3 linked regions of the Arabidopsis thaliana genome follow. The protein of the gene in region 3 interacts with the protein of the main gene of each other region in a pairwise test. Each region holds a gene or a part of one and is shown on either strand. Other genes may lie near its edges.

The links.
Region 1: the proteins of AT4G30240 (region 3) and AT1G64820 interact in a protein complementation assay, tested with the Arabidopsis thaliana proteins (one large-scale study listed by BioGRID).
Region 2: the proteins of AT4G30240 (region 3) and AT2G29250 interact in a protein complementation assay, tested with the Arabidopsis thaliana proteins (one large-scale study listed by BioGRID).

What each region holds. Positions count from the first base shown.
Region 1 is NC_003070.9:24,083,929-24,094,920, reverse strand, and holds AT1G64820 (MATE efflux family protein), read right to left. Parts: upstream 6,317-10,992; coding exon 5,520-6,316; intron 5,387-5,519; coding exon 5,300-5,386; intron 5,222-5,299; coding exon 5,165-5,221; intron 5,076-5,164; coding exon 4,837-5,075; intron 4,765-4,836; coding exon 4,559-4,764; intron 4,486-4,558; coding exon 4,363-4,485; downstream 1-4,362. Other genes in the region: AT1G64840 (LOW protein: F-box/kelch-repeat protein (DUF295)), read right to left, coding at 1-911; AT1G64830 (Eukaryotic aspartyl protease family protein), read left to right, coding at 2,355-3,650; APO1 (APO RNA-binding protein (DUF794)), read right to left, coding at 6,645-7,853, 7,938-8,111; AT1G64800 (DNA binding / transcription factor), read right to left, coding at 9,488-9,835.
Region 2 is NC_003071.7:12,574,976-12,585,846, forward strand, and holds AT2G29250 (Concanavalin A-like lectin protein kinase family protein), read right to left. Parts: upstream 5,806-10,871; coding exon 3,934-5,805; downstream 1-3,933. Other genes in the region: AT2G29260 (NAD(P)-binding Rossmann-fold superfamily protein), read left to right, coding at 7,548-7,795, 7,878-8,085, 8,201-8,417, 8,540-8,646, 8,791-8,979; AT2G29263 (uncharacterized protein), read right to left, coding at 9,268-9,453.
Region 3 is NC_003075.7:14,804,938-14,815,737, forward strand, and holds AT4G30240 (Syntaxin/t-SNARE family protein), read right to left. Parts: upstream 5,139-10,800; 5' UTR 4,809-5,138; coding exon 4,726-4,808; intron 4,519-4,725; coding exon 4,404-4,518; intron 4,304-4,403; coding exon 3,719-4,303; intron 3,644-3,718; coding exon 3,544-3,643; intron 3,442-3,543; coding exon 3,422-3,441; 3' UTR 3,385-3,421; intron 3,299-3,384; 3' UTR 2,952-3,298; downstream 1-2,951. Other genes in the region: AT4G30230 (uncharacterized protein), read left to right, coding at 1,439-2,221; AT4G30250 (P-loop containing nucleoside triphosphate hydrolases superfamily protein), read right to left, coding at 6,325-7,890.

The sequences.
Region 1 (10,992 bases), on a different chromosome or scaffold from region 3:
TTTCCAAAGTGTCCAATAAACAACACACGGTCTCCCAAATCGATCACCTCAACCCATTGACCAGCCTCCTCATCTAGCCTACTCACTCTACATGCGAACCGACTCAAATCCAATACATCAGCTTCAGGAAATGGGTTGAACTTCTCAACCAGGAAAAGCTCATCACTGCCATTTGGAATCAGATACTTGCTCGAGCGCAGAGGCTCTGAGGGCATCAGGAGAGTCTGTTCCAACGAATAAGGATCGAAAACGTAAATGTCCCCGTTAAGAAAAGTTACATAAAATCTACCTCTAAAACTGACTAAACCCTTGCATGAAGCAATGGAGGTTTTCTTGACCTTCATCCACCTCATTTCAGAACTTCTCAACACCAACAAATGATTACGGTAGCGAAGAAGCACAACGAATTCGTCTCCTCCGTTCTTCTTTACCGGAAGAAAAGCAACGCCTACGTAACCATTTGCCAATGATTCAGGATCCCAACCGATCATTATGTATTGAAAGCCTAAAGGAATGATCTGGTAGTCAAGCATGTTCACCAAGAATGGATCAGATTGTGGGAACTTCACTTTCACAGAACATTGAAGAGGAGATGGAAGTTCCATATGATCATTTGACTGATCTTGGTCTATTCCTCCAAGAAAATACTCGGGTATATCAGCAGCAGGGTTTCGAGCTCTAAAGAGGAAGATTTGGATCTTCTTGAGTGTACACAAGTCTTTGCTTACTAATGGGAACTTAGCAAACGTGGGAAGAGAGTAACTTAGGGTTGATAAGCTAGAAGGAAAGGGAAATGCGGATCGCCACGAACGACAAATAGATCGAGCATGAACGACATCAAAACAGTTGTCTAGATTCTTGGAGATAAGGTTGAGTAGCTCTTCCGGGAGCTGAGACCAGTTTGGCATCATGGATAACAGAAACTGCTGCAATTTTCAAAAATCTGAATGTAAACGAACATAAATCTCATAACAATGAAGAGGTAAACATAAAGGTGACAATTTTGCAGAAATAATGTATAGAACCAAGAAGATTTCTCTAAGAACCCTAGACACAATTACTTACTGCAGTATTTAGCTGAAGAATCAGTTTGTTACAAGTAAACGGAAGTAACAAAGAAAATAAGTTTACCCTTTTTCGAATTCAAGGAACTAAGTTGGGAGATTGAGACTCTGAATTCTGAAATATCATTCAGGTTCGATTACAGTGATGAGAGGAGTTGAACACAGTAACATACTTGTGGTAATTGAAAGACTATGGCAATAAAACCAAGATGGTGATTTGTCGGAGAAGAAATAAATCGACCTCTACTTTCGAGTTTTGTATAGAAAAAACGATTTCTAGGGTTCTTCGGTGGATTTTGATTTTGGTAGATGCGTAGACAATGGAAAACACCGCCGTTTCTGGTAAATACTGGAGACCGACCCGCATTACAAACAATATTTCTGTTAAAAAATACTCACCCTTATTTTTATTTCTTTTTTTCCACAAAGATTGAATATCAATATTATTATTATTTTTATTGCTAATAAAAAACAAATTAATATTATTAAACTAACAAAACAATAATATTAAATTATTTTTTTTCCACAAAAATTGAATATCAATATTATTATTACTTTTATTGTTAATCAAAATTTTTTTTTAATATTATTAAACTAACAAAACAATAATATTAAAATGTAATAGTTGTTTTTCTTAATTTGTGTAAGAATCTCACAACATCAAATTTGCTGGAACAGAGGGACTAACAGAAACCCAAAAATATTTATCGTTTTTAATTTTAGTGTTAAAACTAAAAGTTGTATTTTTTTTTAATATTGTGTTTTGCTAGTATTTACGATTATATTTTTTCTTTGAATACTATTAATTTTAGAATTTAACATGTGGTATATTGTTTTGTATTAATATTGGTTAAATTCATTTCACCAAGATTCTGTTTCATAAAATAAAACATCATTTTTCATTTTTTCCCTTTAATAATATTTCATCAATTTAAAAGTTTCTTTTTAATGGTTTTCATAATATATACATTTTCAAGTATTATAGCCTAAACCCAAAAAGTTGTCCTTTTTATATTCATAGGTTCTCTAAATGAAATAAGATCTTCAATATTCAAAGACCATTCTTAAATTTTTTATATTCATAGATTCTCTTATTGAAATAAAATATTCAATATTCAAAGAACATTACAATCCTTAATTTGTTGCATTTATTACCATAACTACGTTTTGCATTTAATAATTACCAAAAATCATAAAACATTACAAATAAGTCAACTCATTCATGTAGTCAACAATATGGTTATTCAAATAGCTATAGTCTATAGTTACGTCTCTCAAAGGATTCTCAAAATGGCTTCTCTAATTTTTGCAACTCTCTTGTCCCTTTTGTTACTCTCAAACGTGAACGCCTATCCGAAAGATGGCTTCACCATTGATCTGATCCACCGCGATTCTCCCAAATCACCGTTCTACAATTCCGCCGAAACCTCTTCACAACGTATGAGAAATGCTATCCGCCGCTCCGCTCGCAGTACACTCCAATTCAGCAATGATGATGCTTCACCAAACTCACCACAATCTTTTATCACTTCCAACCGCGGTGAGTATCTCATGAACATATCCATCGGGACGCCCCCGGTCCCGATACTAGCGATTGCGGATACTGGCAGCGACTTGATTTGGACTCAATGCAATCCTTGCGAAGATTGTTACCAGCAGACATCTCCACTCTTTGATCCTAAAGAATCTTCCACATATAGAAAGGTTTCTTGCTCCTCAAGCCAATGTCGTGCCCTAGAAGATGCTTCTTGTTCCACAGATGAAAACACTTGTTCTTATACGATTACATACGGTGACAATTCATACACCAAAGGTGACGTTGCCGTTGACACCGTGACGATGGGATCTAGCGGTCGCCGCCCTGTGTCACTCAGAAACATGATCATTGGTTGCGGACACGAAAACACTGGAACCTTTGACCCGGCTGGCTCAGGGATCATCGGACTCGGAGGAGGATCTACATCGTTGGTCTCACAACTCAGGAAATCCATCAACGGTAAATTCTCCTATTGTTTAGTACCTTTCACCTCTGAAACCGGCCTAACGAGCAAGATCAACTTTGGAACAAACGGCATTGTCTCGGGCGATGGAGTTGTGTCCACCTCCATGGTCAAGAAAGATCCCGCCACATACTATTTCCTAAACCTAGAAGCCATTAGCGTGGGAAGCAAGAAAATTCAATTCACAAGCACAATCTTTGGGACCGGAGAAGGAAACATTGTTATCGACTCCGGTACCACTCTAACTCTATTGCCATCCAATTTTTACTATGAGCTTGAATCTGTCGTTGCTTCTACAATCAAAGCAGAGCGAGTGCAAGATCCCGATGGTATTCTGAGTCTTTGTTATAGAGACAGCTCTAGTTTTAAAGTTCCAGACATAACTGTTCATTTCAAAGGAGGTGATGTGAAACTCGGCAATTTGAATACGTTTGTGGCAGTGTCTGAAGATGTGTCTTGCTTTGCATTTGCTGCAAATGAACAACTAACCATTTTTGGAAACTTGGCGCAAATGAACTTCCTTGTTGGATACGACACTGTTTCTGGAACTGTGTCGTTTAAGAAAACGGATTGCTCTCAAATGTAGCTCACTAAACCTTCTTATTCTTATTATACTACCCAATTTATTTCTTAAGAATAGTGTATTTTTCTCCTGAAGTACATGCTACATACCTATAATAAAACTGGTCTTAAATTTTTAGTGTTTGTGTTAGCGTGTAGCGACTATGTTTGCATTATCATTTTTATTTAACGTTTACAAACACATATATCATGCATAGATGTTGAAGATTTAATACTTTTAGAATTTATATAGAGAAAGAGTTATTCGTGAGAAATAAAACAAATTCTAATAAAAATAGTAAAAATATGATAGTCTAAAAAAAAAAAAAGATTAGACTACTCAATTTGTAAGTCTAATTTCTTACGAGTGACCATGTTGATCTTTTATGTATCGTTTCAACTTATGATAGTTTTCGTATGGTGTTTAATGAAACAAATACATCCAAACTTTCAAATTTTCTGTATTTAAGGAATTCATAACTTCGCATCTATCTTTAGGCAAATGGTTTTAGGTGACCTCTGTTAGTTTATGTGCATAAAATTGGATTCCAAATTCTTCTAAAGTGAAATGGGTAGTGTGTGCCCTGACAAACTTGAAATAAGAATCTATATTCTCAAGACGCATCGATCATAGAATTTTAAAATCACACATCATGCAAATGTAAAGCATCCAAGAGTAGTAATTAGATGCTAAAACGAAGGAGACCAATAGAGTTGCATTAAGTGGTTTTACACTTTTACACAGTTTCTGCAATATGATTAAGTAAAACTTGTGTATCCTCTTCTACTATAATTTGTGTTTTTTGGTTGCCTTTGACTTGAGGTGTCATCTCGAATACTCTGTCTCTAGCTTTCGTTGCCTGAAACACAAACCAAAACCAGATTCAAAACTGTAACCGTAACTAGAAGTAAAATGATTAGTAATTTATATACCTCTTGTTCCCAATTGGTGAAGAAGGTGACAAGAGCAAAAACAATGAGTTGGATAGTGGAGGCTATGAGTATACCAATCCAAAGTCCTTTCCCTCTCAATTTCATGACAAAACACAAGAACCATCCTAACGGGATTCCGACAAGATAATATGATCCTAAGCTTGCATAACCTCCTATACGTTGCCACCCTGATCCTCTGGCAACCCCTGAAATATGAAAGAATTCTTGATTTGAACCTACTTTCTTGGGGTTCAAGAAACAAAGTATAATCGTCTTACCTGAGAGCACGGCGAGAAAGCTGTTAACGAAAATGGATAGGCAGAGAATGGGTGTGATTTGGGTTGCGTAGCGAACCACTTCTCTCTCGTTGCTGAATACATAACCCCAACTTTTTCGGTAACTGTAAAGTGTGATGGTTGTTATTAATGCACCAACACCACCAAGGAAAATGGCAGAATTAACCGCGGCTCGAGCTGCCCTATGATTTCCAGCTCCTAGCTCGTTTGAGACATGTGTGCTATAGTGTTAAACAGGATAAAATAGGTTAAGAGATACTATGTTACATGAAAAAATCAGATTCTTGTGAACAATTGAAATCTATAAAACCTTGCGGATGCTCCTATCGCATTCACCAGAACGAAATGCACAGCCGATGTTGTGAGGCTGTTCCATGAATAGAAGTTAGGAATATCACAAGCTTTTTGACTGTTTGAATTATTTTACAAAATGATATGTATGTACCAAATGGATATCACCGATGTTTCGAGCTTTGAGTTTGGTAAGAGTCCAGACATTAGTAGTAGAATCTCAAACGACCACCATTCCAGGCTTTACTTACACACAAAAAAAGAAAGAACAAAGAACAAAAAAAATTATGGATTCATTGTAGATCAGAGTCAGACCAAGAAGCTTTTAAATCTTGCTGAGATTTGTTTTTTTTGGATGTAGATATGTAAATTACCATATCATCATTGCAGAGGGGATCGCGAGGGCGATGAACTGCTTCATGCTCGAGATGAGTTCTTGCAAACCAAGATTCTTCATTTCACGATGCAAAGCAGAGTATCTCATGAAAATCCAAAGCAAAAATACGTTGAGCCAATATGAAAAACCGATGGACAAAGCGGCGCCAACTATTCCAAATTTCAGTTTATAGACAAGAAGCCAACAGAAAGGAATGTGAAAACAAAGAGCTCCAAGAGAGCTCACGAAGAGAGGAAGAGTTATTCCTTGTGACTGGAAATACCGAGTCATAGGTTGAAGAAGAGTGAATCCGAATAAAGCCGGTATGAGCCAGATTGAGTATCTGCAAGCTAATTGAGAGATGAGAGGATCTTGATGGAAAATCTCCAAGAGCTTGTCCATGAAAAACCATACGATAGAGATTGAAAAACAGAAAACGAGAAGACAGAGCATTGAGCTGTAAGTGTATGCACCAATTTTTCCAAATTGTTCTGCTCCAAAAGCTTGACCGCAAAGAGTGTCTAACGCACCTGCAAACCCAACGATGAGGCTGAAACCAGTGACATTGGTGAGGGAAGTGGCAATTGCGACAGCTGAGAGCGAGAGCTCGTCCAAATGACCAGCCATAACCATGGAGATGACTTGAAGGAGGAATTGAGAAACCGAAACTGCCACCATTGGAGCCGCCATGGAGCTCACCTTCTTCATCATCTCCATTGACAAATAACTCATCCCATTCCTGTTATCTTCTTCTTCTTCCTCCTCCTTACGCACCAACGAGAAATCCGTTTCCATCATTCAGTTTTTCAGCAAAAACTCGTTGGATCAAAACATCTTTAGAATCTTTCAAGACAAAGAAATAATTTAAACAAATACCACTGAAGTCGTCTCCATTATAATTACCAGTGACCGGGTTAGTTGTCAATGATAGAGAATCAAACAAATATCTAAAATATTTCTATATGACAAGATTTCTAAAATATTTTACACCCAAATTGCAAAATACACTATATGACAAGATTTCTAATGTCTCCTACGAGGAAAGATCCTAGCTAGCCAGCTCATTTTATTTTCAGCTTCTTTATCCTAACAAAGGAGTTCTACTTTGAACATTTCCAAGGACTTATGCGACCATGTCGGCTTCCTGTGAATCAGGAACAATGATGTCAAGCCTCATCATGGCCTTATAGCGTTGAGGAACCCGAGCTCCACTGTGCATACAAATCTCAACCAAAGCAGGGGCTTTACCATAAAACCTTCTGAGGTTTCCGGTAAGCGGATTTCCCTTAAGGTCTCTCACATGCCATACATAGTTTGGAGGAAAGACTTCGTCCACAAGAGCATCTTGCCATCCGTGCTTCCCATCTCTCCATTGGTGCTTGAACTCTCCGCACAGCTTTACACTATGTCCCCATGGTCCTACATGCACTTCAGAACAATATCCGCATGCTTTCACTGTGAATTTCCTCATTAATTTCGTCACCCCCAATCTCACTTTCTCATAAGCATCCATTGTTTCCTGTGCTATCTTAGGTATATCCTCTGGAGTGGGAGGTGGATACCTTTCAAAAACACCAAGAGTATCAAGCTCGGCTAATGGAGATGATAATGATGATGATGTCTGAGGCTTTTCAGGCTCTTTATGATATCCACCTCGATCGATCACTCTCTTCCCCATCATTCTGATTGGCTGTGTCCTTCTGCGACAAGGATACTCAGGGATCTCAACTCCAGCTTGAATACATAGCTCAACAAGTGCTGGGATTCTTTCATACTCAAACCGTGTTTCATGCTTAATCCGCCGCCCGAAAGGGTCATACATGTGGTACGACTCAACAGGAATAAGAACATCGTTAATGGTACCCTTAACCCAAGAATGAGAACCACGTCGCTGTGAATTCGTTGGACCATTACAATCCCTAATGTTATGACCAACATTAGCCACATGAACCGCTCCACATTCACTACAAGCAAAGACGGGAACAACATGAAGAAGCTGTGCTAAACCCTTGATCAACAACTTCCAGTTATCTATCACTTGATCAGCCACAGGAACAAGATTGGGAACTAGCAATCCATTTTTAGGAGGATCCAACTGTTTCTCTATACCCATCTGAGCAAGTTTCTTATCTTTCCTAGCCTCTTCTTGGATTTGCTTAAAAGGAATAGGATAAGGTTTCTTCTTGTTCTTTGGTAAAATAGGAGGAAGATCCACATTCTGCGTAGATACATACCGTTTCTTAAAACTTGTCTGCTCTCTATGCTTCTGATTAAAACAAAAGACCGTTCCTAACCTCATCAAACACTCTCTTTTAGGGATTGAAGTAGGAATCTACATAAAAGAAGAAAAATCCAAACTTTACAACTTCAAGATAGGAATCAACAAGATCAAAGTTACAGGAGATGAAATGGTTACCTGAAAGCAAAGTGCATAAGAGGCTCTAGCTGAGAAATCAATTGGCTTTGGATCTATGGTCTGAAGATAAACACCTCTACAAGCAGGAGAAACCAGAAGCATGTTGACTATATAAGTAAGAACCCAAATCAGAATTAAGCCAAAAACGATTACTTTCCCAGATTCCTGCAACATTTAAGAAAATAGATGAGGATTTGATAACGATTACATGGTTTCGTAATTTCATCGAACATGGGGTGTGCATATATACAAGAACACAGAGAACTAGAGAAGTTATACACTGAAGAGAAGTGAGAAATCTTCGGCCCATGAAATGGATTCCACGATACTTCGTTGTTCGTCGGTGAACTGGAGTTTTAAGAGAACACGCAATCAGCTCAGACCGTGTAGTACGGTGAATTTAACTCCTTGTCCGCTGGTTTTAATGTGAGTTGGATTTTATTATGACACCTTTGCTGCTTTGCACAACAACAAAAATATATATTATTATTTTTATGACACCAAAATATAATTTAACGATTAACTATTATTTTCTATAACTAAATAAGAACGAATTTGTCAAATGGTAGGTAAAAGTTAAAAAGTAATAACTTTAATAGATTATATTTTTTTGGTCGTAACTTTAATAGAATTTAGGATCATATTCCTTTTGAAATAGATTTAAATAAATTTTAGTTTTGATTTTGATTTTGTTCTTTCAATATTTGTATATTACGAAACATAATATTTTTCCCGTAATATGTATTTCTCTTTTATTTATGTGAACTAATTTATCATCCTAAATCTAAAATTACAACCTTCAATATGTTTTATTTATAAATTAGATGTTCATATAGAAAATAACATGTTAAGAAAAGAAAAACTTGTGAAATGTGAAATCTTCCAAAATTTAGTTAAGTTATATCGTTGATTTATACTTATTTGTTTCCAAAATTTTGGCATGAGCTTTTAAATTATCTTGAGTTAATTTTTGGCTCAGTCTTTTATCCAAACTTTGTTAACAATCTTTGTTTTTAGCCTTGAATTGGTCAAAACATTCAGGATTTTCAACTTTTCACAGCACATTGTTCCAGTTATGGATAAGATAACATCAATTTTTCTTATCAAACAGTTACATGAACTTTGTTAATACTGGGTCTTGTGTTGAAGTTGAGGTCAGAAAATATATGATTCCAAACAGTGGTTGTGTGTCGATGATCAAACATGGAATCTTCATGCATGCCATCAGTGAAACGTTTTTGCTTAGTTTTGTCATGTCCTGGAGGGAGGCCACAAAGCTTGGCGAGTGACGAAGTTGAATCGTAAAGGAAATGTTAACGTCGACATGTATACTAATGCAAAATTCATTTTATTTTCTTTGCAGAAAGAAATGTTGCTCCTCTATCCCTTACTTTTCCGTCGTATCTAAATAACCAAACACTACTCCGTTCCTTCTACTCTCTTTTACATCTCAACAAACACATTATTATCAACACAAAAACAAAAATGAAAAATGTTTGGTCCTAGACTCTCAATGCAATTTGAAGTACATGGCTAACAAATATTTCAATCTAATCCAAAATAGAAGTCCAAATGCATTCAAAAGCCTCAAACTCCAACCTATAATTACTAACCCTTTTCACTGGCCATCTCACATCACTAATCTCTTCAAACATCTCATTACCATCATCTAAGACCGGAAACATAGATTCCGGTAGACTCCAATCAAGTGAGGTTGAGATCATACTCTCCTTCATCCACGGGAACTCAAAAACTCCCAAACTCTCTTCATTACTCCCACTTCTCTTCTCTTCCATCTTGTTTTCTACATTGTTGGCTCTCACATGTTGTCTTTTCTTGCTCTTCTTAGTATGCTCGTCATTTTTCTTGCGTTTGTGGCTTGTAGACGAACCCTCCATCGATAAAGAAACGTGAGATGATGAGATTTGGAGTGAATTGAGAATTAAATTTATAAATGGCCAATGATGAAAAAGTGGGAGGGGAGGAGAGGGAGTCACGCCTTCTTACCCGTATGTATCTGTCATTTAGCATTTTAAAAGCAAACCAACCAAATCCTTTTGTGTTGTTTTCGTGTTTTCCTTCTTTTACGTTCTCATTTCTCTCTCTCCCAACCACACAAGCAAATTATAAAACGTATTGAGATATATATCAAGGATGAGGTGGACATTAAGAAACAAATGGCTATTTTTAGTTTCTTTAATTTCACTCACTGCCCTTCAAACACTGATCTTCACTTATGATAACTAAATGGAAATAGAACACAAATTATTCTTAGTTAATATGACAATTAAGTATCTTAAAACCAATTTATGTTGTTCTAAACCCTTGTTAAAAATAATAATGAGTTGTGTCGTATACTATAACGATTGTGAGTTTCAATCATGAAAAGACAATAAAGGAAGAAAACTTCTATGCTTGAAATTCACATAATTGCCATACATTTTTTATAATAATTTAATCGTTTTATGCGGTTTTATGACCTAAAGATATAGTTTCACTTCTAGTATTGTCGTGTGTCTTACGTCTTTACATGTCGAGAACGTGGAAAATGCAAAAAAAGAAGAAGCAAAACAGCGCATTGGACATGTACTTAAGAGATTTGACATTTGTTGAAGTACCAAATTGAATGATCTTTTTTTTTTGAAACATTGATAATTGAATGTCAAATCTCTTAAGTATAAAAGACATGTCAATTTGGCGGCAAACTTGTGCAAAGGAAGAAGTTGGCCTAAAAGATTGATTTTGGGTCGCCCTCATCTAACCTCATCTGTGGTTGACCTCAGCACACACCCACATGGTCGACCACCAAGGTAACTTCATAAATCATAACCAAGCCTGTTGTACAAGCTAAAATCTTAATTGAGAACCGTGCTACGAGCGACTGCAATAATTGTCTAGACTATGACATAGCGGTTTAGATATGTCACAGTTTTTACCACTTTTGACTCTTATCGTCTCTATGTTTTCATTAGGGATGTGCATTTTGACCGAACCTAGCCAAACTGAACCAAACCTAGCCAAACTGAACTGAACCGAATTAACTGAACTCAAACCG
Region 2 (10,871 bases), on a different chromosome or scaffold from region 3:
CGTCATCAACCATTGGCCCGGGGGTTGACTTACATTGGGCAGTCAAATCAGACTCTATCTGCAAGGCAAACAACAGACGTTAGAGCCAATACACGGAAAAAAAAAAACATAAAAACTATATGAGAAGGTTTGAACTCACTATGCATGGGATGGTGTACTGCAACTCTGGCTGACCTACATTGTATGCAACACCATCCATGTCAACAAGCACCACATATGGATCAGGGAGGCTGGGCTCAGATTCAAAGAACTCATTGACGTCTGTGGGAGGAGGAAGCAAACACTGAGTATGACTCGCTGCAGCTGGAATAGGTTTATCAGGGCTAGTTTGGATATCATCAAGGCCCTCTCAACCTATCCCATCACCGGGGGCATCAACCAAGATATTATCTTGATGGGATACAGTTTTATCACCAGAAACAGACTTTTCCGCAAACATATCGTCTAATTCTTTAGCCGGCAGAGTGGAAGAGCCAATGTCATGAATCCCATCTCTAGCTGACTCATCCTCAGTGGTATCAGTCACCACCCCTCCAACTTTGTTGATATTGACAGCTTCAGGGGATACATGTTTATCAGCAGAAACAGACTTTTCAGCTGAACTGTTGTCTACTGCTGGCGTCAGGATGGTGGCTGCTGTTGGGCCATTGTTGCCTCTCTTCCGTTTCTGTTTGTTATGAAAACAATACTTGAATTAGGAAGAACTCTCATAAAATACAGAATATTTACAAAACTGTTAAACGTATACCAGAGAACTACGCAATCCAGGCCTAGTCGGTGGGGATAAGCGACCTATGGGGGTTGTAGTCTGTGTAGGTTCTGCGTCGTTAATATCATGCATCACTTCACCTAAGACTTGATCAATAAATCCAGAACCACTGTTCTCCTTCGACTGGGCTACCCTGCCATTATCCAAAACAACAAGGGAGGATCCCTTCTTCCCACCTAATCCCTCACCCACATCTCTTGACTTAGGACCACTGTGACGCTTATTCTTCCTGCCATGGCTTTCCCTCAACAAGCTGCTCAATCTAGCCTCTGAATCAGCTATAGCCTTCAACATACGCGACTCCATACGCTTGTCTTTCATGTCAATGTAATTTTTAATCGAATCTGGTATGTGAACCTGCCCTTTAGTTTTACGGGGTTTAGAAGAGCCAGGCAAGGAAGCATCAGGTTGTATGGTATCCTCATCAACACAATCATAAGTGCTACATACATCACTGTTGTCATTCCTTTCATCGGGTAGCGAATCAGGGACAACACCACCTGAAAACATGGACCCCTTGAATATGTGCTCCTCTTTTATTAGTTGCAACATGTAGTCAACAGATAGATCTTCTTCGTCCTCGACCCAACCTGACTTGAAAGCGTCACCAGTCGGTGTTCCACTCCAAATAGAAACGACTTTAATCTGAAAAACAAAGAGTTAGACTTTAGCCACATGATATTATGTTTTATTACATGTACTAAAAGTATTTATACTGTTACTAACAGTGAAATATAGATTATGTACCCATGTGCTCCTTAAAAACAACATGTTATTTCATCATATAACCAGATGTTGTAATGCATACCGCCATACGTGACTTACTAAGGTAACAGGGTATGGTTATTAAAAAGAACTGTGATCATATTTAAAACCATGCAGTTTTTGCATAAATCATGATATAAATAATAAATAGTAAATCAGCACATATTAAAAAAAAACTTAACCACATGCTACACATTTACAGCCATGTTATGATTATTCTAAAGAAACTGTGATCAGATTTAAAACCATACAATTTATACAGAAATCATGATATAAATAACAAATAGTAAATCAACACATATTAAAAACCTAAGCCACATGCTACACGTTTACACAGAATGATATGAATCTATAATTGTATGTTTTTGATAGGAAAAGAAGAGGTTTTCATGATAAAAACGAGCATATGAAAATTAATTTACGAGAGCAGAGATGCATTGCTCACCTGAGACTGCCGGTCGACTTTCCAAACAAGATCCAACTTCAAACTCCATAAGCGCTCAATTTCCGTATCTGTTTCCTCCATTTCTGAGTCACTATCTTCAACGGCTTCAGGGAATTGCAATTCTCTGATTCGAGGAACACTTTGCAGTAGCAAAAGTTGGAGTGCGTGTGGGAAACCTTGAACGGTGATAGATTTCCGCATAAGTTTATCAGCTCCCCTTGCAGTAACACTCTTCAACGTCATTAGGAATGACATAGTCCCCCAAGGAAAATTTAGAAACATGTCTAAATTTTCTGCCATGTCCGCATGGACCGGAGAGATTTTACTTCTACCCGAGGTTGGGCATAAAACGCCATCAATCAAGGCCAGCACAGCGTAACGTAAACGAATTCCTTGATCTTGAACCACTCGCTTCTTCAGCCTGCCAACAACCCACTCAACAGATACATCACTGCGGTCAAATAGGCTGTACCAATACTTGCCAGGCGCCAATTTTCGTTTCCCTTTCCTCTCTTTCATACGAGGCGGTTTGTCGCAGTTCAAACCGGTAACATTTTGAAACTCAGAAATGGAAAACCGAACAGGGGATCCAGAGAAAATTACCCAAATTTCTTGTTTCTTCCTAACAACAAGCTGCCTCGTTAGCAAAAAGTGAATAAGCTTCCCAGAATACGCGGCGCTTTCGGAGAAATCAAATAATTTCCCAAACTGAGATTCCCGGAGAATTTTCATGTCCTCCGCATCTAACGCGTTAGCGATGTCATCTATCAAAGACAGTTCACTGTAGGACTGCACTCTCTCACCGTTGGGCTCGGATCCAGACCTAAACAATCGACGGGGTAAAGAGTTGTTCATCATCTACAAGTCGAACCCTTTTCTGCACAAAATAGAAGTTTATAAATCAGAAACAGTATGTACCTAAGATTTCAGTTAATCGGAATATAGATTGGAGAAATAAAGAAGTTGATGGCGATCGAGAACGTTGAATAGCTTAAACCGCATATATTTGTGAAATTACCTGTAGCCCGATGGAATTGATTGCCTAACTGCGAGATTGAATCTAAAGAAACGATATGTATGAGAAACAATATAGATTTGAAATAGATATTCGGAGAGTTTGCAGAATCTATGGGTAGAGAACGGAAGACGTTTCCTCTCGGAAAACCAGCAAATGAAGCGGCGCTAGGTTTTTTTTTGGAGCTCCTGATATTTCAAAAAATTCGATAATAAATCGATTTCTCGAAATTAAAATCTATATCGTTTGCGTCCACATACAGCATTGCTCTTACCAAGGTTTTCAAAATTCAAATTTCTGCAATCATACGCCTATACACCTATATGTCCCCTAACCAAGAACACAGTTATAGGGGGTTGCGGGTAATTTCAGATACGTCTCCGACAGACACTATAGACTCATAGTTAGTTTCTATATTATTATTGATTTCATGGTCATCTAGTGCATATACCCTTCTTTTAAATTAACCAGGTGAATCCAATCCAAAATCTAAACTAATCCCTTTAACAAAAAAAAAAAAAAATCTATACTGAACCCAAATTCCATAGAAATCTAGATTTTGTTGCTACTATAAAAATCTACTGGTGAACAAAGATAATTGAAATTACAATGAAAGGGCTAGAAAAGTCTGCCAACAATACTATTTATTTGCTTATCTTTTCTTTAACAATACATACTAGTTATCCTAAAACGACGAACAAACATCATTTAGAATTTAAAATCAAACACAAATATTTTAAAATATTCATTTTCTCGGAAGAGTACGAAGATTGTTTAATCGAAGATAATATTTAATGAAATTAATTTCTCAAAACGAGAAATTCTTATTTCCATTTTTAAAAGTTATTCTATGTATTATTCATATCATGCTTATGCATCTTGGGTCCAATCTTGATTTGTACAACGGCGTTTCGAGATCATCGTTAGCCATTTCCTCTTTTAGACGACGTAGTCATCATGAGGGAGATGTTCTGTACCGTTGAGATACTCCAACACTTTCTTCATCATTGGCCTATCTTCTGGAGATCGTCTCACGCAGAGAAGTCCTGTTTTCAGAACCAATAACACTTCTTCAGAGACTAAATTCTTTTTCTTGATTCTTTTGTCGCATCTCCTTAAGAGATTTCCGCTCTTGACCCCTCGAAGCACCCAGTTCACTAAACTGATCTCTACCGGTTCCTTTGTCGGCTCTATGGCTCTCCTTCCACAAACAATCTCCATGATTAACACTCCAAATTCAAACACATCTGTGGCACATGTAGCCTTTCCCGTGTTGACTAGTTCTGGTGCAACGTGTCCCGTAGTGCTGTGTCTGCTTCCATGTCCATAGTCTCCTAGTCGAGCGTTTAGCTCTCCGTCCAAAAGAACGTTACTTGCTTTGACATTTCCGTGTATGAGAGGTTTTTGAACCTCAGCGTGAAGATGTTGAAGTGCTGACGCAATACCCTTTATAATACAAAACCGGTGTACCCATTTGAGAACTGGTAGGTCGTTGCTGAACAAGAACCGGTCTAGGCTTCTATTGATAACATACTCGTAAACAAGATAGATCTCGTTTCCTTTGCTGCAGTAACCATGTAGATCAACAAGATTTCTTTGTTTTACCTTGGAGATTGCATCGATCTCGGCTATTAGGGCTGTCTTTTCTTGCCTTGTGTTGCAAGTAATTCTCTTTACGGCAATTATCTCTGTAGGAGCAAGTTGCCCTTTATAAAAACTCCCAGAGTTTCCCTCTCCCAAAAGCTTAGAGTTGTCAAAACCTCCCGTCGCGCTGGAAATCGTCTGGTGGGAGAATTTCCGTGCGCCTCCGGTGAAGTTTTCCGTTCTACGAAAAAAGCAAACCGCTAAGAAGCTTAAGATCAAGATTCCAAATATTGCTGATGCAGCAATGATTATGATCAGCATCGTGTTACTCGAATTTTTCATGACTGAAACCGGAGGACTCGGGGATGGAGACAATGGAGGTAGCGGGTCTGGAAGAGAGGGAAGCTTCGTGATATCAAAGTCTGATGCTTTCCCCTCGATGCTGAAGCTCCAGCCTAGCACAAAATGTGAGCTCGTGACAGTTCCCGTGGCTGCAGAGAATCCAACATAATTTTCTTCAGAGATGATCCCAGAAAGATTTAGTTTTCTAGAGAGAAGAGGCAACTTTGGCTTCGGACGATCTAGAGGAGCCAATGTGACATTGAGCATCGTCTCAGTTGCGTTGTATTCGATCCAGACTCTTATTGGTTTCCCACTCGCCAGCCTCAAACTTATGTTCTTTGCCTCTCGGTCATCAAAATATTCAGCGGAGGTAGACTCAATGGAGATCACTCCGTTGAGGTCTATACCAACATGGTTATCATCAATATCGTTCAACTCAACGGCCTGCACAGTGTCGAATTCAACTGCAAGAATGCAATTCAAGGAGTTTCCATTGTTGGAGGTATTGAATAGGCCTAGATAATTGCTTGGTAAGGCCCCGCTAAAGTCCAGCGAGGGTGAAATGACAAAAGCTAAGCCGTGGCCTGGTGCGCCAGGTCCTGGAGTGATGGCAAAGACGAAGCTTGTGGGGAAAGATACCAAATTTGAGGAGTTGGGGTTTAAGAATGGTATGGGAAAGCCATGAAAAGCTTGACCTATTTGCCTCATCGAAGTGTTTGTCAACTCCAAGTGGCCACTCGGGTGGATCTTGGACGAGCCAGACTTGAGGAGATTAGCTTCCAGAAAGCCATGGTTAAGAAATTTGGTTTGTTGTTGACTTGAGACACAAGAAAAGTATAGTAGGAAGATTATTGATACAGCTATCGATTTATAGGTATTAGCCATTGATAGTTTTCAGATTTTGATGTTAGCTATGTTCAATGCTATCTTTTTATAGCTTCAAAGAGCTCAAGACACATTCATATTCAAATTTTTTGTTTATGCTGACAAGTTAAACAAACTTAGTTGAAGATTTGACTTTCTATATAAACTGCTAAACAAACCCTTTTTTTTTTTGCAAACCTTTATATTAGTATCCTTGAAAAATTCTTTCGAACTTTCCTCCACAATTTCTTCCTAATAAAATTGATTGCAAAATAAACAAGAAAATGGTTACATATTTTCTGTATAATTTAAATGTGATTACAAAGTCATAATGGATCAAAAATTATTGAACAAAAAAAACGTCATCTTTTAGCTAGCCTTTAGGGTGAATCACCTTTTTTTTTGTTACACATATAATTTTGACTGCCTAACGATCGACGTTTATCCACTATGACTATGTGATACAAACAAATAGAAAGGTTTCTCTTGAGTCTTGTAATTGTGCAATTATTTGTATTAGGAAGAAATTGTGGAGGAAACTTGCAATAATTATCAACTATATGTCGCATAAAAGGCGTTGCTATGTTAGGCTTTTAGCCACTATATATCCAATATAAAAATAAAAAATGGATGAACAATTGAACATTCCTTGAAATTAAAGTGTTAACTTTAAATATGAATATTTATAATAAAAAAATATCCTAACTTTTTTTTATTATTATTATAAAGACATACGTTGTCAAACTAAGAAATTCAATTTGTAAACGAAGAAGAAGAATACTTGACCATTCAAATCTTAGTCTTGTTCTCACTGAAAACTTGTACAAAAATAAATAATTACAAAATCTAGAGAAGTTTTCATGCAAAATTGTATATGTAGATGTAGTCAGATAGAGTTCCATATATTCTATAAACGAAGAAATCACAACAATACAATGTACAAATTAACATCATTAGATTAGAGTCAAAGAATTTTTAAAAATATATCAACTTTCTGAGAAGAGTACAAAGATTGTTTACGAACGAAGAATTCTCAAAACATAAAATAATTAGTTTCCATTTTACAAAAATGATCTTAGGTAATCTGCTTATATTGGTTAAAGTATTTCTATTTTCTAACCAAAACTTAGGCAATTTATTTTGTCACCAACATACAATATTATATTAACAATCTATATATTACTAATCTATATGTTTTTTTCTTTTTGGTCTAAGGTAAACTTTGTGATTTAATTGTAGTATTGTACCTCTTCAATAGATACTCCGTACTCGCATGTATTAATAGAGCATCACATTTATCGACTTCTCTATGGTTAGTTTATGCATCTACTAAGTTTTTTATGGACTTTTGTTTTTGTTGTTCATTTATCGAAATAAAGCAAAAAACTGCAACGATCCAGTTAATCCGCAAAAATTAATGAATTAGAGTTTTTTTTTTTTCTCTTCTTCTTGTTGCATTTTCTCCTTTTTTTTTCTATTTTTTCTAATGATATTAACTAATATCTTCCCTACTAAAATATTGAAATGCTTTATTTTATTTTTTAAATAAAGAAATTGATTATGATTTTTTTTTTGTTACAGTTTATAAATGTGTCTAATAATTTATGGATATTTTATAAAGTTTATAAGATATATATACAGTAATTTAAAATTTGCCGCAATGATGACGTCGTCATCGTCACTAAACCAATCAGAACCATGCTTCGCATAAAGGTGACTCTGACTCATTTGAAAAGCTGAAACATAAACTCTGCTCTGCATAAATGGTGCTTGACATGGCTTCTCACTTGTACACAAATCCACCTCAAAACCTTCACTTTATTTCTTCTTCTTCTTCCCTTAAACCTCATTTATGCCTCTCTTTCAAACGCATAAACCCTAAACACAAATCCTCTTCCTCTTCCGTCTTCGTCCCTTACGCATCACAGAGTTCCATTGCCATTACCTCCAAGGAAAGATGGTCTCTCAATGGAATGTCTGCTCTTGTCACCGGCGGCACTCGTGGAATTGGGTTTGTCTCTCTTCACAACAAGTGTGAACCTTTATCAAACGCAAATTCTCAGAGTAGTGTGTGTTACTGTTTAAATTCTCAGGCGTGCGATTGTGGAGGAATTGGCTGGTCTTGGAGCAGAAGTTCACACTTGCGCTCGGAATGAGTACGAGCTGGAGAATTGTTTGAGTGATTGGAACCGTTCTGGTTTTCGAGTTGCTGGATCCGTTTGCGATGTCTCTGATCGATCTCAGAGAGAGGCTTTGATGGAGACCGTGTCATCTGTGTTTGAAGGGAAGCTTCATATCCTTGTAAGGTTTAATGCCATTGCTTAGAGATAATGCACATAAAGTGTTTGTTAATTTGTCTGTGAGAACAATTGTAAATAAATAACTTTACTTTCTTGTGTAATTATGATGCTTTTAGGTAAACAATGTTGGGACGAACATTAGGAAACCAATGGTAGAGTTTACTGCTGGAGAATTTTCGACTCTGATGTCTACGAATTTCGAATCGGTTTTCCATTTATGTCAACTTGCTTATCCATTGCTTAGAGAATCTAAAGCTGGAAGTGTTGTGTTCATCTCTTCTGTTTCTGGTTTTGTTTCCCTCAAGAATATGTCGGTCCAATCTTCAACCAAAGGTAGGTATTTGTTCTTATGCAGCATTCATTCATTTATTCAGGTTTTACCAAGATGTATTAGATTCTTTAACGAGCAGGCGATGGATAAACTTTGGTTCTTTTCGTTGGCCTTTGTGTTTTAGGAGCAATTAATCAACTTACGAGAAGTCTGGCTTGCGAGTGGGCCAAAGACAATATAAGGATCAATGCTGTTGCCCCGTGGTATATCAAAACATCTATGGTGGAGCAAGTATGGGTTTAAAAGCCTTATTATCTATTATGCGGTTAAATATAAGCTCTTGAGGCTGAAAATCAAAATGAGAAAGACTAAGCTAATTTGTGTGTTCCTTGTTTAAGATGGGGTTGTTTAATGGTTCTCGTCTTTTGGTCTCAGGTCCTTAGCAACAAAGAGTACCTAGAAGAAGTCTACTCAGTAACTCCTCTTGGTCGACTTGGCGAACCGAGAGAGGTGTCTTCTGCAGTGGCTTTTTTATGCCTACCTGCATCATCATATATTACAGGGCAGATTCTTTGTGTTGATGGTGGAATGTCAATAAACGGTTTCTTCCCACGACATGATTAGGCCACTCTATTGTTTTACTAGTTTCCTTGGGATCCTTTTTGTTTTATCTTTAGCATGTCTCCTTTCTCCCGTGAAAGACAGTTCATCGATATGAGATGAGAATTGAAGTTGTGCTACTAAGTCTACTGTTAATGAAAAGGATAATTTAGCATCAGACAGCGTGATTCAGTTTCCCTTGTCTTTTACTGATTATCTTGATTGTGCATGTGGGGGAAAATTGCTGAGGAACCTTTTCATGTTATGACTTTTATGAAAACAAAAACTTTATGTTTCTTGAGTTAGTATTCATTAGCTTGTATTCTGTGTCATCCTTTCTCGGTTTTGGCTTTCATTGTGTCTTGAACCTGCACTCATATCCAACAAACAATGGTTGAGGAAGAGAGAAGCTGCATAGAATAAACGAGGAACCTTTAATGAATTACCGCCACCTGTGTCTCGGGTCACTCTTCTTCTGCCCTTGTATTTACAGCACATTAAGCTCTGCTTTTGGTTAATATCGCTTTGTCTCTGTGTTTAATAATGTTTTTGGTTCGATGTATATATACAGGTAAGCAATGCAGGAAAGTGTATAGCCAAACCGACCACAAAATATGCAGTAGAAGATTTCTCGTTGCTGATGGCTACAAATCTGGAGTCAGCTTTCCATCTCTCACAGCTCGCCAATCCTTTGTTGAAAGCTTCAGGTTCAGGGAGCATTGTCCTTACGTCCTCTGTTGATGGGGTTGTCCATCTGAGAGTCGGATCCATCTATGGAGCAACCGAAGCTACCGTATATATGTCTACATCCTTAAAACAATGTTCCCTTGCGTTATGATGCTTTCGTAACATATAGATGCGTTTCAGGAGCCATGAATCAACTGGCTAGAAACTTAGCTTGCAAATGGGCGAGTGACAACATAAGGGCGCTCTGTTTGTCCTTGGTTCATTAAAACTCCTTTAACTAATAATGTACGGCGAAAAGTAAAAAGTCTCCTTATTATTATGAAAATATATCTATATCATAACTTCCCAATTTTGATTTGTATGAAATGTTTCAGTTTCTCAATGATAAAGATGCAAAAGAAAAGGTGGAGAGTAGGCCACCGATGGGTCGTGTTGGAGGTGCCATTGTCAACGTTTTTTCCTTCAAGACTCTGCCTTAAAATACATATATGCATGTGTTTGGATTATATTTTCCTGCGTAATAATTAAGAAATGTACTTTAGATAAGTTCCTATCTAAAGTCGCTTGTGATGCCAAAGGGATTGGGTCCCCCTTCTTCTTCTTGTTATTCTCTATGTTTTGTTTCCTGAAATATTTATGCTTGTGGTGAACGAGAGTTCAATATCTGAATTCATTATCTACTTTGGCCAACGCCTAATGGTATCATTTGGTGTCTCAACATGTGATGGAGTGTCTAATTTGGTTTGAAATCCCAAAATTCAATATCCATGGGTATTCTCTAGTAATTTATAAAAGAACTTTGGTCCAAATCCTACAAGTGGTCATATACTGACATACCACATAGTGGAAGAACTAGCTAGCTGGGTTTGAAATAAACTCAAGATAAGACAAGTGGTCAGAATTGATGTTGAGAGATTTTTTTCCTCAGCATGGGTGTCAAATGAGGGTCCATCAAAGTATGCAGATGTCACTAAGGGTTTCCATTTAGAGTAATGAGACATGAAATAGTGGGTTTTGGGTTTTGAGTATTTGGGTTTTGAGTAAGTATTCCAATATAATATATGTTCGGATAATTTTGATAGCTAAAATCATTGTCCACGGTCCCAAACGCCCACTAGTTTAGGTAAGATGGACAGCCCTAGATGTAACTATCAGGAGTTGCCCAATGTCTATCATGTAATTGTATCTTTTCTTATTTACAAAGTTGTTAGTAATCTATCTTTATATAC
Region 3 (10,800 bases):
ACAAAAAAACATTTGAAGTGAACTGCTATAGATGTGAATCATCTTACTTTTTTGCGTTTAAAGGCAAAATAGTAACATCGCACCATATGAAATTGTTATAAAAAGGGAAAACAAATCAAACTTTGTAGTCAAGCAATGTATATGAATAACCTACTTATGACTTGTGCCTTGCAGCGTAAGTTGATGTACGTTGAAAACGAAAAAACAAAGTGGATAGTTTGTAATTGTGGCTCTAATTCCTTTAGTTTTTTTTTCTCTAACAATTGAGTTTCTTTAATCACTACACTTCCACTTCCTCGATTTAATATACCTAAACTATAATTGGATAGTTGAAAATATCAAAAACTATAGTCTAGAATATAATTATAATCATCGTTTTAATGTTTGTAATAACCGAAAGGTCCGAAACGAAATGTTAGCAGCCAGGCGAAAGTCATTTTCTCAGCTGACCTCAGTTACGCGCAACAATTCATACCTCAGCACTTATTTTTTATACTTTTGTCACAATGTCTTAGTCTTCTTCTGAATTAGTCTCGACTATCTTTTTTCACAATCAATATGCTTCATACAGTTTGTTTGTGTGTAAACTTGCTCCTTCGAAAATATACCTAAAGAAAATTGTCTAAACATTTTTAGATTGTGTTTCGCTAATTCTTATATATATTTATATAGAAGTGGTGACATGTCGAATCTATATTTTATACAATACCATCAGTTAGCTTTTTGCACAGTCTTTTTATTTTACCGGTTGGGTGTACAAATCTATGCAAATTTGTGTGATCGTGGTACATTTATGTACATATGTATAAACATATAGTCTTTGACAAAGAATTTAAAAAATATAGGCATTTCAATCAAAGTTTTACATCATGAAGAAATGTAAATCTCAAATTTTCAAACATTATTAATTTGTGTTTGAATAATTCTATCTCTATCATTCTTGACCATGCTTTTGAATAACTAAATTTTCTAAGCTGAAAAATCGGAAAGATTCATGAATAAATGATCAATGCTATATATGAAGACTAGAGTTACTTGTCTTATCTTTCTTGTCGTTAAAACTATATATGAAAACTAGAGTTAGTTAATATTAATAGACACTTTGTGTGGTTAAATAATAAATAATAAGTAAGATTTGCTATCTTTCTTGTCATTAAAATTGTATTATTGTTATTACCAACATAATATGTCATATATCGACCTGAAATAATTAAATCATGAGAAATTTGGCAAACGGAAACTTCGGATGGTCAACAATCTACAAATATATGCATGTATATAAATACACCTAAAGAATTCTAACCCGTAAAACAAAATAGTTTCCACTTTAAGTTCTGTAAAAGTATTTGACCCCTCTAGAGACCATGTATATATATGGTGACAAAAATTAATACTTTCAATATCTTCATTGTCTTCTCTCTCTCTCTCCCTAAAAAACATGGAAACTACAAAAAACACTAATCTCCAAAACCCTACTAAACTCCCAAAACCATTTCAACATCACCTAGAAGAAGAAAAAGAAGACGCACTATCTCTCCGAGATCTTCCCCTCAAAGCCAAGAATCCTAATCCCACCACCACCGAAGACCACAAAGAACCGTCAACGGAACTTTTTGAGTTTCTAACCTCATCCTCCTACGACGTAGCTCCGGCAGAAAATATAATCTTTGGCGGGAAACTCATCCCTTTAAACTACCAAAATGCTTTCTTTTCACCTCCTGAGCACATTAGCCGTCGAATCCGTTCACGGTCTGAGTCCTTATCCGCGATACAAGGCCATAAGCTTAACCGTCCCGGTAGTTGTACCGTGGCACGTCGTGACAATGCGGGACCTATGAGGGCAAGCCGCTCTTTAGATTATCGTAAGCTTTCACGTGGTCTAACCACCGTACATTCTCCACCGGAAAATAGTTCATCGACTAAAAACACGGGGAAGCCTGAAACAACGTCTTCGGGAAGTGTAAAAAGTGTAAGGCCAAGATGGTATGTGATCATGTTTGGAATGGTTAAGTTTCCGCCGGAGATCGAACTCAAGGATATAAAGAGCCGTCAGATTCGCCGGAATATTCCACCGGTTATGTTTCCATCTCCTGCTAACAGGAGAGCTCGTGGATCTCGGTCGCCATCACCGTCACCTTCTTGGAGGTTTCTCAACGCTTTAAGTTGCAAGAAGCCCACAAGCGTGGCTGCTACGGCGCCGTTTTGGGTTCCTCATCCATAAATTACTATATTATTCCTACGAACATTGTGCGCGGTTACTTGCTCTGCCGTTGATTAAGAAGGATAGGATCGTCATTTAGTATAAGAAATATCGATATTGTTAATTTATTTTGTGAAAGAATGTCGAAATTGTAATTTATTTGGTGAATCGATAATAGTTTGGACCATAACACATCTTATTCACACCTTTTTCTTTTTCTTTGATTTTTTCGTTATTTTGTATTTCAGCTCATTTAGAATATTTCAATATATATTTTAATAAAATTGTTTTTGAAATTGAATTGGTTAGGTGAGGAATGAATGATGATCAAAAGAAGCACGAGAAGGATATGAGAAAAATTTATTACCTTACTTTTCCCAATGGGACTAGTCGATTTTTAATGATTTAGACAGGAAGTTGTATCATTTTTTAGCATTTATCTGTGCTTCGAAGTTCATGGTTGATAAATGGTATGATCAAATTCCATCTTGAGAGACTGTGACATGCACCTTTCTTTTGTCCAGAGACTTCTAGATTCGAAAATTATTAGACATTTTTCTTTCTTCATAAATCTTTTTCACCATTATCATATGTCTATATGATACGACCTAATATTAAGATTTTTTACTTAGCTTAGAATTGACCTAAATTGGTACTTTTGGGCTGTGACACTATTAGTGATGAAAGAAATTGAGACGTCAACTATAATGCGCATTTTAAAAGAAAGTAAGACAATGATTGGAACAAATGACTTGCCAAGTAAGTGAAAGAGGACAAAGAATGTTTTGTTCCAAAACAAATATCTGAGAGACAAACAAACACTGGAGATATCATTGAGCACAAACACGCATTGGTTTCCTTTAGGTACACGTCTAAAGTTTAACGAAACGTCGTAGCTTCAAGTTTTACAAATTGATCTTACAAATTTACAGGTTCCTATATGTTCCCTGAGGATTAAGAGAGAGTAATAAATCAGGCTTTGTCCTTCATTTGAATCTTGACAAAGTCTTTTAATCTCTCCTCCTTCCCTCGAAGGATGTTGAATCATGTAGCATCTAACGAGTGTGTAACCCAATACGCAAGAATCTGTGAAAAAACCTGCAAGATACACGAAAAGGATGTAATGTTTAAAGATTGTTTTAGAAAACTTGGAGTTCTGATTTAGAATCTAAAATATCATTTACCTGTCAATGTTTCTTGAGAGTTTCTGAAACCGCGGTTTTAAGTTCTCAAGATGAATACTGCAAGGGTATAAACAAGGAATTTGATTCAGTTATAGAGAGTAGAGACTGTCATGGAACAGTGGTGTGACATAACTCATGAGAACCAAGAGAAGGACTCACATAGAAGAATCAAGATTAGCGTTAAGGAAAGAATGAGCTTAATAGGGCGGCTCAATGGAACGCGAAATCGTCTTTGATAAACCTTGACTCTGTCAAAGAGCTGCAAAATGATAAACAACTAAGACTTATGATCCTTTCTAATAGTGTAGAGATGATCCAAACTGCAGAAGCTTACCTGGTTATAATCACGACATCTCTGCAGCCAAAACATAGGTTTAGCTCCTTTCTCTTTAGGAGTGTCTTCAATATGTGATAGGAACTTCTCCCTCTCTTCTTCTTTTGCATTAACAGGGACATTAATCCTCAACGCACTGATATTTGGTACATTTGGTGAACTCCATGTTCTTCTTGTACCGCCTTTTTTATCTGCACTTTCCGGACTTCCTATGTCGTCAATGTCTATCACACAATCAGGACTGTCGCCATAACATCTACCCTCTCTTCTGCCATTGATCCCACGTGGATTCTCAGCTACAGAACTCGTTGAGGAATCTCTCAAGTTGATGCTATCACTGTTTAAACTCTCTGACGTCTGAGAAGATCCAGATAGAAACATGGCGAGATCATCACGCTCTTCTTTGTTAAGATCCACCCAACGCAAAGGTTGTTTCCCATTCTCGCTTAACGACTCTAGCAGAGTAGATTCCACTTGATAAATCTGGTTTTCAATAGCGGTAACAAACTGTTTATGCCTAGTTAAGGTAGTGTCATCTCGACAATTTCCATGGCTTAAGCTCACTGCCCTCTCAAACTCTTCCAACTGATTCAAGTCACAACAATATAACCAATATCACTAACACACTCATGAGTAACCATGAAAAAAAAAGGGAATGATCAAAGGACCATTGATTGTTTCATACCTGCCATTTAGCAGTGCTCAAAGCAGCTTGGAGTTCTTTGCAGAGCTCGTCTGATTCTACGGATACTCGACCGTCTCTCTTCTCTTTAAACCACAACCTATACGCAGATTCCATTCTGGAAATACAACACAAATAAGAAACAAAATTTCAAATTTGATAACTCAATTCCTTCACAAAACACAAAGGTTCTCACTTAGACCATTCTAGAGCCAATTAGTCCCCTAAACAATCGAAATACCCTATTTTTCAATTGAAATTCCGAATTCCACCATCACAAGCAACATGAGTCAATTAAACAAACAGAGAATCAAAAAACACATACATATCAGCAGATTCTTGAACCTCCTCAGCTGCAGAGAAAAAAACATCCTTTTGCCATAGATCGAAACTATTCGCTACCATCATCTTCGAAACCACACCTAAACCCTTCAAATTAAAGACCAAAAAATCAACCCGAAAAGATTCGTCGGAATAGATTCTCTCTCCGATTATAATCCAAAATTAGATTCTGCTTCCTTCTCTTCTCTTCTCTTCTCTTCCTTTTTTGCCTTCAGGAGGAAAGAAGGAATTTTTATTTTTTCTTCCTCCAGCTTTCTGTTTTTATTTTTTATTCCTTAAATTCTTCGATATTTCTTTGCTTTCTTCACTTTAAACGTTAATGGAAGATTTTAATAAAGAGGCCTCTCTGAACTAAATTGACCATATTTCACACGTGTTTTATTGTAATTGGGAAATAATTTAAAGTAAGATGGTCTTAGCTGCAGGAGATTACCGCTTGTCAAAGAAAAACATCAAGAATGTCCGTGTTGTTGTTGGGCCTACCGGTTTGCCGCAACATCAATTGTTCGCCAACCGCATTATATTATTATTATTATTCTTTATTTTAATACTCTCTATACAAGTCAAATGCTAATGAGTAAATAAATTCAATAAAAACTCAACGCTAATTTTAACTTTTAGTTTAGTAATAGACAGTAGGAGCAGGACAAATTGAGGTGGCATGTGTAGCGCATGTGATATCAAAATTTTAACTAGTTAAATTGAAATTCATAAAATGAAAACATGTTTTGGTGTTTTCAGTTTTGGAGAGACATGTTTTGTTAAATAAATTTAATTAATTAGTTGTTGTGATATGGTGAAATACCACCTTCTTCAACAAATCCCAACCTTGATTTTGGTGTTTTCAGTTTTAATTAGTTACCAAGACCTGTTTTTGTTCTTATTTAGACATTAACCGGTGGTAGATTCTAGAGATTGGGCCCATAATATATATATATATTTTTTTTGATCAAAAAGATTGGGCCCATAATATAAAACAACTTTTTTCTGATGCAAATCTCTTTGGGTAGGATTGGGCTTCACTACTACAATATGTCAAAAATCAGCGGTCAATATTATATTTAGAAAAAAAAAAAGAACGGATGGATTTTTCAGGTCACTTCTAGTTTGAAGTCAAGTGTTTGATGTGATGATTCTTTAAATGTCACTTCTCGAGTAAATTGTTTTCTTGAACTATAAATTTTGAAATTTACAGGTTTCACATATAACCTGTATAAAAAAGGGTGTGACACTAACCAATTTACAACACCCAAAGTCCAAACGCCAATTCTCTTTTATCTCTTCAAAACAAACGTAACCGACACGAAAATTTGAGACAACATATACAACAACAAAGTGGCAATTTCTGCAGCATTAGTAGATACAAAAGCCAGTTTAGTCTCAACTCTCATGTAGCAAATCTCAGAAGGTTAACTTTGGACAGTGCCTACTTTTGACTTAAGAGTAAACCAAAATGGATAACGTTATATTATATGGTAACTAATCATATATTATAATAATTTTGACTAAACAAAACGGATAATTAAAAACACACAAGAACCACCATTAGATGATGATCCTAGGATAAACAGTCTCTTATCATTCACTTCTCCTTCTCATCTTCTTCTTCTTCCTCCTCTCGAAACCCACAAACCTCTCTGTTTCTTCTATTAGGACTATCCAAAGCTCTCTTCTCTTGTTCTTCCTCTGCTTCTTCTTCTTCTTCTTGACCTTCCTGTTTCTTCTTCTTCAATCCAACACTCTTCCTTCTCTTCACAACTCTCTCCTTCAACACACTCACAATCTCCCTCACCGCCTTCTCCGCATCACTCCTATTCCTAATCAACACTTCACTAACATCAGCCGGAGTAATCTCTGCTTCCTCCACACATTCTTCCATCTCCTTCAAAACAACACTATCCATATCTTCTTCCTCAAGCCTCAGATAATTCTTCAACAGAATCTTCAAAGCCGGAAACTTACAAAAACCCATGTGAACATGCATATCCATCCTCCCACTTCTCATCAGAGCAGAATCTAACTTCTCTATATGATTTGTCGTGAACACAAATATCTTCTCACTCCCACAACAAGACCAAAGCCCATCTGTGAAGTTCAATAGCCCCGACAGAGTCACCGAGCTTCCCGGTTCCTCCAAACCCGACCCGTTTGTCAAACCTGGATCATATTCATAGCTCCCATTCTTCTTTTTGTTCTTTCCTCGTTTCGTCAAACTGATAGAACAATCAATGTCTTCGATGACAATGATAGACTTAGAGCTAGTCTTCATCAACAGCTTCCTCAATTCAGAGTTGTTCTGAACCTCAGTGAGTTCAAGATCGTAAATATCGTAACCAAGGTAATTCGCCATTGCAGCAATCAAACTCGATTTGCCAGTTCCAGGTGGTCCATACAACAAGTAACCTCGTTTCCAAGCTCTTCCCGTTTTCTGATAAAACCCTTGTCCGTTCGCAAACTCCCTTAGATCCTCCATGATTCGCTTCTTCTTCTCAGGATCCATAGCCAGAGTATCGAACGTGCTTGGATGCTTGAATCTTACAGAATCCCATGGATGGCTCCTCGCGTCGAGCGAAACACCTCTTGAGTTCGTGTAAAGCAGTCTCTCCTCGTTTCTCCGACGAATCTCCTCTGATTTTCCGACAATGTAATCAAGGTAAGAATCTAGGACAAGGGCTTTGTCTCTTTTGTTGATCTGTAACGTAAACCCTCGTTTCTCTTCCGGCATTGGTCTCCACGAAAAGCTCTGTACTTGACGTTGTACAACGACGTGTTCCCAGAGGATAGTGACGCCGTTAAATACGTCGGTGATTCTGTCGTTGTTGGAGAGGCCGAAAGTAACGGAGCTTGAGTTAGGAACACGTGTCAAGCTGAGACGTGTGTTGTTGTTGCTGCTAGAAACTGCGTCGTTGACGGTGACGGAAGAGCTGAGGTAAAGCTGAACGGCGTTGTAGAGCTCGTTGGTGTTGACGCCGTCAATCTCCGTTATGTCGAAGTAGATGTGAGAAGAGAACACGTGGCGGATACGTGTCAAGAAGTGGAGGAAAGCTAGTCGGAGTTCAGGCGGAAACACGAGTTGGACGATTGTTTGACAAAAGGCTAACATGCCAAGTAGAGAAGCCATTGTTGTCCAATAATCACTCATTTTCATTTTCTTACTCTGTTTCTTTTCCCTTTGAATAAAAAAAAAAATTGGGTAGAGAATTAGAGAAATTGAGAAGTGGGTTTGTGGTTAAATGAGGAGAGAAGAGTAGGTTTAGTGTAATTATGGAGATAAGAGTGTGATTTTTTGAAGTTATTATTCTAGAGATTTGGGAGGGAAAATGTTTGGTTGAGGCTTTTGGGAGAAGAGAAAGAGTGACGTTGGTGGAATTTATTGAAATAATGAAATAAGGGATCACCTCAATTTATAAGCAATTGGAGGAGTCGAGGAGACATTTTACTTTGTTATTTTACTAAAGAAAATATTGTTTTGATATTTGCGGATATGACCATTTATTTTGTTGTGTATTGTGTATTGTACAAATTATATGAGCAACTAGTACTCAATTATTTCATAGGTCTATGGTTTCTAGGCTTACAAAAAACAAATTACAAGTTATCGATTGAATGGGACTGCCAAGAGGTAATGGTTATGTGACATGTAAATCTCACATCGGATACTATTCGACTTTTTCTTTTGTCCAACAAAATGATAAAGATGAAAATATGAAATTACTTTTAAATTTTTTGTGAGCAAAAGGTTGAAACTTGAATGGTGAAGAATGATGAAAAGAGAATATAAAGGACGGTACCAAAGAAATGGATAGGTTTTTACTCTTACGCTAATTGAATCGGACAAACAAGTACAATAAGAAAAACACCACAAACGACAAGAAATAGTTAAAATTAAAAAATTACATACCAAAAGAGGGTAAGTTCTTACGAGACAGCCAATAACAGATCATTAGCTGGATTGGTTCAATGTAGTAAGAGGTTTTGTTTTATTGATTGGTTCTAGTGTTCAAAGGGGGCTCTAAAAATTCCTTTGTGTATACTTGTGGTTTCTATTGGTTACTACAGAAAACTTGATCAGTAAAAGCATCATTATCAATGGTTTCTTAAAAAGTTTATAAAATCTCTTAAAAAATTATATAAAACAAAATAAGAATAAAAATATTAAAAAAAGTTCTTAGAAAGTAAAATTGGCTCTTAATTAAGAGTTTTTTTTATACTTTCTCTCATCTTACTAAGAACCCTCTAATTTTAAATTATTATTTGGTAGATCAAAAATGTGAAGATTTGATCTAAGAACCCATCAATAAGGATGGTCTAAAGAACGAGTTATTTTGCTATTATGTTTTTTCTTAATACCTCTTACTTTTTGTCGTTGTTACAAGTATTCATTTTTTAACCGAAAAATAGCATCAAATTGATTTTTTTTTTAATCTTATGCAACATTTTGTTTTGTGTTTTGTATTTGGTTTTACAATTTACGAATAATATTTGATGAAACAAGTAGAGTATTTTTCTTATTAAACCCAAATTATTTTAATGGCTAAACGCAAAATTTTACATTTAACATGTAAAAATCCTAACCTCAGCTACAAAGAAAAATACTATTACTAAGCGTAATGATCTTTAAGTAATGATGCCAAATTTTAAATTATGGTTCGGTCATCCACGGTATTATTGGAACTCGCCCGGATAGAATTTAGAAGAAGGTTTTTCTTATTTAAGATTAGTGCAAAGGATAATGATCAGTGTAAATTTGTAACGTAGTAGTAGTCTCTTTAGATTGATAAGTAAAATATTAAAGCAAAAGGGAACATGAGGGTCTAGATTAGGGTTTGTGAATGTGACTTACAGTTGGGTTTGTGTTGTTTTGTTGAGACTTTGTGATTTTATTCTTAAGGACACTCGAATTTAAGTGGGACACCATTGTTTGTCTACATTTGCATATCAACATCTATCACCATAATACTCAAAACTCTCTCAACTTTCTTTCACATCTCCATCTAATTCCAACATTAATAAACCTCATCACAACCCCAAATTAGTTTAAAACACTTTTAAAGATAATAGATATATCTGTTGAACTCCGAGATCAATGGGTATAAACTATAAAGCTTGAATTGTTTTCATATAACATTTCTTTTTGAGAATTGATAGATGGTATTTGGAAGACCTTGCCAATATGAAACTTGCTCGTCTAAGATGAGCCTTTGATCTAACTAGTCTCTAATTCTCAATCATATACTGTATCTTATAAGTTGAGCCAAATTATCTCATACATATTATTATTATTATTATTATTTGAGAAAGGGCTAATTTCACACATATAGTCGATCGTATGATGAGAATGGAAAACAAATAAGAGAATAATTCGATGTTTCATTTTGCCGACAAAATAAATAATTATTTGACGTTTTTCAGATGTTTTAAATAGGGGGAAATTGGTGAGATATGTAAAAGGAGATGACACATAATGACAACGACAGTAGATAAGGCCCAAGTTACTAGAGTCACTTTTGCAGAACTGTAGAATCTCCCAACACCCAAAACCTTTAATGTATTACTGTGTGTAGATTCAAGCTTAAGGTATGCTAAGTTGAATTAACTAAAATTGGTTTATATATTGATGCACAAAAATGAAACAAAATTGAAAATTATGTAGGATTTGAAAATAATTAGGTATTTACAAGACCATTGGTTGATATTGTGGGGGAAAATTTTGGACCAAAGATTCTGTGCAGAGATCCGTTGGTGATTCTTGTCTTGGAGTTTTGTATCCTCTGGTTCCGAGCTAAACCCAAAAGGGCCAACAATAAATAACCAATATTAAATGTCAAAAGTTGTAAGGCTATATTATTATGTTATGTTACAAAAGCCTCCTCAAGTACACAATTGGCATTTTATACTATTAGGGTTTGTAATGATGGTACCTTCTGAAACTGACTCTCTTTGGCATTTTCTATTTCAGTTTTTCAAAAATTGAAAAAGAATCATTCACTTCACTATTAACAAGACAATCTATTCTCTTCTTCATTTTTTTTTGTTATTCATTCAAACATGATGAAAA